Linked DNA regions of Ovis aries. The protein of the gene in region 2 interacts with the protein of the main gene of each other region in a biochemical or structural test. Links are inferred from orthologs where the notes say so. Each region holds a gene or a part of one and is shown on either strand. Other genes may lie near its edges.

What was found.
Region 1: of the proteins of H1-5 (region 2) and PRKCD, one has a biochemical effect on the other in vitro, tested with the Homo sapiens proteins (2 studies listed by BioGRID). The link is inferred for Ovis aries from reciprocal best matches to the Homo sapiens genes H1-5 and PRKCD.

Annotation. Positions count from the first base shown.
Region 1 is NC_056072.1:47,844,876-47,848,685, reverse strand, and holds part of PRKCD (protein kinase C delta type), read left to right. Parts: intron 1-2,208; coding exon 2,209-2,367; 3' UTR 2,368-3,810.
Region 2 is NC_056073.1:29,965,403-29,969,840, forward strand, and holds the start of H1-5 (histone H1.5), read left to right. Parts: upstream 1-1,488; 5' UTR 1,489-3,880; coding exon 3,881-4,438. Other genes in the region: uncharacterized protein LOC101120961, read left to right, coding at 1,105-1,488. UniProt on the Homo sapiens protein: Histone H1 protein binds to linker DNA between nucleosomes forming the macromolecular structure known as the chromatin fiber. Histones H1 are necessary for the condensation of nucleosome chains into higher-order structured fibers.

The DNA of each region.
Region 1 (3,810 bases), on a different chromosome or scaffold from region 2:
AACAGTGGATCCAGCACCCTTTACCATGCATTCTCTTTTATTTATTTATTTATTTATGGCTACACTGAGTCTTCATTGCGTCATGCAGGCTTTCTCTAGTTGCAGCAACCCGGGGCTGCTCTTTGTTGTGGTGTGTGGGCTTTTCGTAGTGGTGGCTTCTCGCTGCGAAGCACAGGCTCCAGGCACACAGACTTCAGTAGCTGTGGTGCACGGGCTTGGTTGCTCTGAGGCATTGTGGAATCTTTCCAGACTAGGGATTGAACCCATGTCCCCTGCCCTGGCAGGTGGATTTTTATCCACTGCACCACCAGGGAAATCCAACCATACATTCTTTAACACCCACTGTGTGCAGGGGAGTATGCTTTGGTAATCAGAGTTAAGGCCTCCCTTCCTCCATCTATCCATCCACCCAGTCAATCCATTTTGCAATAAATATAGAAAATGCTGAGTGCCTTCTGAGTGCAGAGCACTGAGCTGGGCTGCATGCACAGCAGAGTAGGAGGCCCAGTCCGAGAACTGGAGGGCCCCAGCTCTTCAGAGAGATAAGAAAGTTGCATGCCGATGATCATTTATGATAAAAGGCATCAGTATGAGAGATGTCACAAGGCCACACACAATCAGTTGCCATGAGGAGGGTCTGTCGGCAGGAGCCAGGATCCAGAGTTTGGAGTAGGTCTGAGAGGAAATGGGATGTGGGCAGGGCTGAGGAGGCCCGGCCAGGCTGGGGCCAGATGCTTTCCAAGGAAAGCAAGGTTGCTGTACACAACAGCTTAGAATCTAGAGAAGCCGCCAGGAGCGAGCAGGAGAGCAGAGGCAGGCTGGACTTCTCAGAAGTCAGACACCAAGGCCCTTCTCTGATCACAGCTCTTCCCTCCCTTCCTCTTTCTCTCCTTTGCCTCCCCTCGCTCCTTGAGGACACTGTTACCACATAGCAGCCCATGTAACATGCTCCAGTGTTTGTGTTTTAAAACCGCAGAGAACTCCGCCGACTCCAGGGACCTAAAACTTGCTGCCTCCTGCACTGGGCACATTACTACCAGGCAAGGCAGGCTGTAGGAATATCCCACAGCCTGCGTTTAGTGTCATGCTTTTGATAGAAAGAGGGATGGACTGATTTTAAACAACACCAGGCATATGTGCTAATCAGCAGCAATCCCTCTCGGAAGGAAGAGGTAGGGGCCTGTGATGAGCTGGCCCCAAGGGGTTTCAGCACCAAGAGTTAACAGACCTGCCAGGAAACTGGCCCAAACTGCTCTGCTCTGTCAGTTTTTCAAAGAAGCCAGGAACCTGGATTTTTTTAAATTTTTTTTGGCTGCACCACACAACACATGGGATCTTACTTCCCCAACCAGGAATTGAACCCATAGTTTGGAAAGTCCCCAAAACTTGATTTTGATGTCATATTTCCTAATTTAAAAATATTGGCTCAGGAATTTCCTGGCAGTCCAATGGTTAGGACTCTGAGCTTTCACTTCCTAGGAGCCAGGTCCAGTCCCTGGCTAAGCTAAGATCCCACAAGCCACGTGGTGAGGCCAAAAGAAAATTGGCTCAAATGCCGTTAAAACTCATGGCTAGTCAAAATGGTTGTACCTGCAGCTCAGTTTGGCCTGAGGGCCACCAGCTTGAGACCTCTTTCTATCACACTTTCACTGTACCCTGAGAAGCAGAGTTGGCAGATTTTTCCTGTGAACAGCCTGACAGGAAATATTGTAGGCTTTTCAGGCCAGCTAGTCTCAAAGTGGCCATAGATGTAGCCATAGACATAGCAGCATGTCAGTTAATAGGCATGGTTGTGTACTAATAAAACTTTATTTATGGATACTGAACCATTGAATTTCATTTAATTTTCACATGTCATGAAATTTTATTCTCCTTTTGTTTTTTTTCCTAAACATTTAAAAATGCAAAATCCAGTCTGAGCTGGTGGGACCTACAGAAACAGGTGGTGGAAGGGGTTTGACCCAGGGCTGTATTGCCTGCTTGGGCAAATGCCCACGTTTCCTCCTCCAGGCCCCCTGCTGGTTTCCTTCAGCCTCTTGGGTAACAGCATCTCCCTTCCAGCAGAGAGGCTCCCTTTTCTGTTCTCAATAAGGATGGCTCTGCATGGCCCAGCCCAGCAGGGATTCTGGCCCCAGGGGTGGGTCCCTGGAACCCCGGGAACCTTCGCCCTTTGAGTCCTGCTTACACACCCCTACCCTCTGCTTGCAGAAGTCACCTGGAGACTACAGCAACTTCGACCAGGAGTTCCTGAATGAGAAGCCGCGCCTCTCCTACAGTGACAAGAACCTCATCGAGTCCATGGACCAAACAGCATTTGCTGGCTTCTCCTTTGTGAACCCCAAATTTGAGAGGCTCCTGGAAAACTGAGGTTCCTGAACGTGTGCCCCAAAAGCCCATCCCAGCCCGGGAGCCTGGGTCAGCCAGCACCATCTGCCGACCCGGCAGCGCAGGTGGGGCCCACACTTCATCAGCACCTGCCTGCCCCCCACGATAAGCAACCGTGCAGTTGTCGTGATTTCTGCTGCTGCCTGCCCCCCATGTCCCAGAGGGGCCTCAGCTCCTGTCCAGCTGGGCTTTCATGGTACTTCCTCTGTGAACTGTGTGTGAATTTGCTTTTCCTCTGCCCTCAGAGGGAAATTGTAAATCCTGTGTTTCATGACTTGAATGTAGTTATCTATTGAAATATATATATATATTATATATATATATGCACATACATATATATATATATAGGCTGTATATATTGCTCAGTAGAGAAAAAAATGTGGGGGACTGGTGATACGTTGATCTTTTAAAATATATGTATTATATATATATGACACACACCCTTGCGACCTCCTACCCCCCTCCAAAAGAAAAAGGAGCACAAGCTGTTTGAACCACCAGGTGCTTTGATTTGTCTGTCTAAATAAACACCAAGTGGTACCGACCTGTCTGTTGGGACACATTTGTCCCAGGAAGCTGGTGGCCGCTGCTCCCGCTTCCGGCAGCTGTCTTGGACGCTAAACCTAGCTGTTAGCTGCAGATGCAGAACCCCTGGGCTTTCATGCAAATGTGTTTGTATTTATGGGTTTCCTCTGGCTCCAGAGCTGGGGGCCAAAAGCAGAACACTTTTCTGGGTGGCTGAGGGAGCCCCAGTTGTCTCTTTGGGGTGATGGGACCAGCTACAGAAAATCCATCTCAGAACAATGAGGGGCGAGCGTGGAAGAGCAGGACAGTGCAAGGCCTGGCCAGAAGACGTGAGCAAAGGTGGCGAGGCCAGCCCAGACTGGGGCGGAGAGGAGGGGAGAGGAAGGAAATACAGCTCAGACTTTAGGCAGTTGTGGATTCAAATCGCAGAGGAGGCAAAAATGTGGCTTTTCAGATGTCACTTAATCATCCAAAATCTCCGTTTCCTCATCTGTACAATGAGCCTGAGTTATTCAGTGTAACTCCTCAAGTTTGTCCCCGCCTTTGCCACAGAGGAGTCTGTGTCTGAGTTCTAGAATCTATTCCCCAGGAGCCCTGGGGCCAGGGAGGGGAGCAGGGTAGGAGAAAAAGGATGAAATGCCGAGTGGCCGGGTCGGGGTCGAGAGCCTTGCCCCAGTGTGCCCTGGTGCAGCCAGGAAACTGGGGGTGGCCGCTGCCCCCCAAGCCTGCAGGTCTCTGTCCCCACCACCTCTTGCCTGCTCTCGGCTTCCTGTTTCTTCCTGTCTGTCTCTCTTGGGGCACAAGCCTTGGGGAGGGTCCGCCCTCCAGCCCTTCAGGTCCAGCCCCCCGAGCTCTCATCCCTGGTGGTAGGTGAGGTGCCCCCAGAGCCTGATTGGCTGG
Region 2 (4,438 bases):
GTCCTTCGTCAGTATTTCCATCACCAGCAGTGGCAGATTTTCGTTTGATGTCGTTTCTTGTAAGCCAGGCAAAATGGTCTTTGTGTTCACTGCTCACACTTTAAGGGTAAATAGCTCACCGAGCAGTAAGGCTAGCAATAACAAATATGAAGTATTAAGGGGAAAAGGTAACCAAGCTTCGTTTTAGTTAGCTATTACAGAGTTCTGGAACAGAACGTGGTGACTGGATTGACTTTAACTTGCCTCCACTTAAACACTCGTTTCATGTTATTGAAGCTTGTCAAATCATGACAGCTTATATCTAAAATAATGCAAGGTTCTCTAGATTAGCTGTCCCCAACCTTTTTGGCGGCAGCGACCGGTTTTGTGGAAGACAGTTTTCGACGCGCCTGGGTGGTGGATGGTTTCGGGATGATTTAAGCCATGTTAGAAGCTCCAATAGTTTGGCCGCGTCATGCGAAGAGCCCACTCATCGGAAAATATCCTGATGCTGAGAAAGATTGAGGGCAGGAGGTGAAGGGGGAGACAGAAGATGAGATAGTATCACTGACTCGGACATGAGTTTGAGCAAACTCCAAGGGATAGTGAAGAACTGTGAACCCTGGCATGCTGTAGTCCATGGGGTCGCAAAGAGTAGGGACACGGCTGAGCAACTGAAGAGCGACGACTATTTATTGTGCACTTTATTTCTCTGGAGTAGGAAACGGCAAACCACTTGAGTATTCTTACCTGGAAAATCCCATGGACAGAGGAGGCTGGTAGCCTACAGTCCATGGGATCACAGATTCGGACACTGAGAGACTAGCACACTTTATTCTTACTTTTATTTCATCAGTTCCACCTCAGATCACCAGACAGTTAGATCCCGGAGGTTGGGGACCCCTACTCTAGATGACGAATTTAAGAATTTGGATACATCCTGCAGGCTTCTTTAAAAAGCCAACAAGATATTTCCTATCTCACCACGTAATCCTAGAGTCCGAAGAAGAGGCGGGACAATGCTTCCTAAACCCAGAAAGAATGGGCGTGGAAGGGCGGGGTAGGCGAGGGAGCAGCAGTTTATTGTCCAATCAAGATGCGAGGTTCGCTATATATTTTGGGAAGACCGAGTGCTCACATCACTGTTAGGTAGTTGGCACTACTTACCAATGGCTCGCACTAAGCAGACGGCTCGCAAGTCCACCGGCGGCAAGGCGCCGCGCAAACAGCTCGCCACCAAGGCGGCTCGCAAGAGCGCGCCGGCCACCGGCGGCGTGAAGAAGCCGCACCGCTACCGGCCCGGCACGGTAGCTCTGCGCGAGATCCGCCGTTACCAGAAGTCCACGGAGCTGCTGATCCGCAAGCTGCCGTTCCAGCGGCTGGTGCGCGAGATCGCGCAAGACTTCAAGACTGACCTGCGCTTCCAGAGCTCAGCCGTGATGGCGCTGCAGGAGGCGTGCGAGGCCTATCTGGTGGGGCTCTTCGAGGACACCAACCTGTGTGCCATCCACGCCAAGCGCGTCACCATCATGCCCAAGGACATCCAGCTTGCCCGCCGCATCCGTGGGGAGAGAGCATAAATTTAGTGGCTCCTCCAAGTAACACATACCACCAAAGGCTCTTTTAAGAGCCCCTCAATTGTCACCAAAAGGGAGCTGTTCATTGTCGAGTATACATAATTACCAGCAAATGAAAAACGCCATGAGTTTTAAATGGAACGTATCGTGGACCCAAATATTACTGCCACGGCAATACTATGCAGAAGTGGCTGTATCCTGGGCTCCGAATCAGTCTATTGAACTGTTTCTCGGGGAAGCATTTTTTTAAAGAGAATATTTAATCCTTGGCTAAAGGAAGTGACTGAAAGTGGTCCATTACTTCTTAATTAGTGCTTCCTGTGGATAGTTCTGTAATGACAAACGAAGCGCCTTTCCCCCACCTTTTGCCAAGTGCCATACAACTTAAGATAATGTGTCTCCTGTCTCCCTGTTGCAGGAAGAAATATTGGTCGAGGTTCACAGCAGCCAGTTGCCCAATTACTCAGCTCTCTGCGACTCACCTACAACAGCTGTAAAATGTGGCAAATGAATTAGTTTGTAGACCATACTAAGACGTTCCTGGCACTAAATGCTCAATGAATGTTAGCTATATTATGCCCTTCTTTTGTAAAGCAGACACCGCCACCGCCCCCTCCCCTCCCAGCCTTCCCAAGTTTTCTGAAAGTTTTGTGATTGAAACAGTGGGAAATGCTTGATTGAATCATTTTCTTAAGATCTCCTTTTCTTTAGATCTGGGTTTGCATAATTCTGAAAAAGGCAGACCTGTAAGAAAAACATGAACTATCTGAGGAGGAATTCAAACCGTGAAAGCCATAAAGTAAATATTTTAGGTTTTGCAGGTAACATATAGTCTCTGTCACATCTTAAAGATATTCTTAAAAATACAGAAACTTACCTTGACCATACAAAAATAAGCCAAATAAGATTTGGCCATAAGAGGCTATAGTTTCAACTCCAGGAACCCCTGAAGACATGAAGTGTCAGCCTACAGGTTTTCACAAGAACTGACTGTTGACTGTATGAGAGACCCTAATCATCATTGCATCCAGGGACAAAATCCTCTCCAAGCTTCCTCCTCCCCCAAAATAACAAACATCACCCTCCATTTCACCTCAAAGTTACTGCCTCAGGGCCCTTGGATGTTAATGTTTTCCTGAATTCTCTTGAACTTATATAACCTCCACTCACTCCCTTACTATCCAACCCACACTTATAGTCAGAAGCCAATTATTTCACTGAAAGATACAGGTCTATCTTCATTAAATATACAGAAATATCCACACTGAGGTCCTACAAAAGAAGGTGTTCCTGACCATTCAATTTGTTAAATGTTGGTGGAAATGGAGTTTGAGGGAGAGCAGTGGAAAGTGCTGAAGCTCCAAAGGAGGAAAACAGCTTCTAAGAGAGGGAGAGAGACCCATGCCATCTAAACAGCCTTTCCGCTGTTGCTGGAAGCCCTTGAATAATTTTTAGCCGATTTCAGAGGGGTTTTTTTTCTAAAATACATTTCTGGGTTAAGAAATTTTCTTTCTCATTTTAATGGATTTGCTTACAAATTAAAGGGAGAAAGCTTCTCAATCAAAAACAGACTAAATTTGTTTGAATTTGAAGACAGGTCATTGGATTCTGAAGCCAAAGCAATTTCTATTCCTCATGGAAGAAGTCACTTTGACTACAGAACTAGTCCGAGCCGCGAAATCCCATTCTCTAAAAACAATGGCATCTGGAAACTCCGTGGAAGACAAAACCGATTTTTAAAGTAAAATCTATATGCTTAATTTGTGGCTGTAGGCAACTGGCCATCCTGCACCTGTGTTACTTGCTGCCGTTCGAAGCAAAGTTTAAGCAAAACCAAGGAACCTAGTGTCTTTCCTCTTGCAAAAATCGAAGGCCGAACTTGGCGACAATGCCTTTTAAAAAACATTCACTTGATACTTAACTAAAACTTTATTGCAATATGCAACTACGTAGCTCGATGCCTTACGTCCGGTGAATCTATAGGAAAAGCTGAAGGGATTTTTAAAAATATCTTTCATTAACTGCGCGTGAGTCATAAAAACACAAACAAGTATGTGACCTTGGAGGCTGTTTTCCTCCTCTGAAGCTTCAAAGAGTCAAATTCTGTACCACTGTTTTTAACATTTAATCAAATTTTGGGGACTAACAAACACAGTTTGGGAGTCCAACCACGACAGGCGGCTGCCTGAGGGCGGTGGATCGGACGTTCCACCAATCACAGGGCAGCACCGACTTATATAAACCCGGGCCGGCGCAAGACAGCATTGCAAAACTTGCTCTTTGGAATTTGAGTCTCTCTGCTTCTAGCAGGTTCTCCCATCGCAATGTCGGAAACCGCTCCTGCTGAGACGGCCGCCCCGGCGCCGGTGGAGAAGTCTCCTGCCAAGAAGAAAACAACCAAGAAGACCGCGAGCGGTGGAGCGGCGAAGCGCAAGGCTACCGGGCCCCCAGTTTCCGAGCTGATCACTAAGGCTGTCGCCGCCTCCAAAGAGCGCAATGGCCTTTCTTTGGCTGCGCTCAAGAAAGCGCTGGCAGCCGGGGGCTACGATGTGGAGAAGAACAATAGCCGCATCAAGCTGGGTCTCAAGAGCCTAGTGAGCAAGGGCACACTGGTGCAGACCAAGGGCACCGGGGCTTCCGGCTCTTTCAAGCTCAACAAGAAGGCGGCTGCTGGGGAAGCCAAGCCCAAAACCAAGAAGGCGGGGGCTGCGAAAGCGAAGAAACCCGCAGGGGCCACCCCTAAGAAACCCAAGAAGGCTGCGGGAGCGAAAAAAGCCGTTAAGAAGACGCCTAAGAAGGCGAAAAAGCCCGCGGCCTCTGGTGTCAAAAAAGTGGCCAAGAGCCCCAAGAAGGCCAAAACAGCGGCAAAGCCAAAGAAGGCT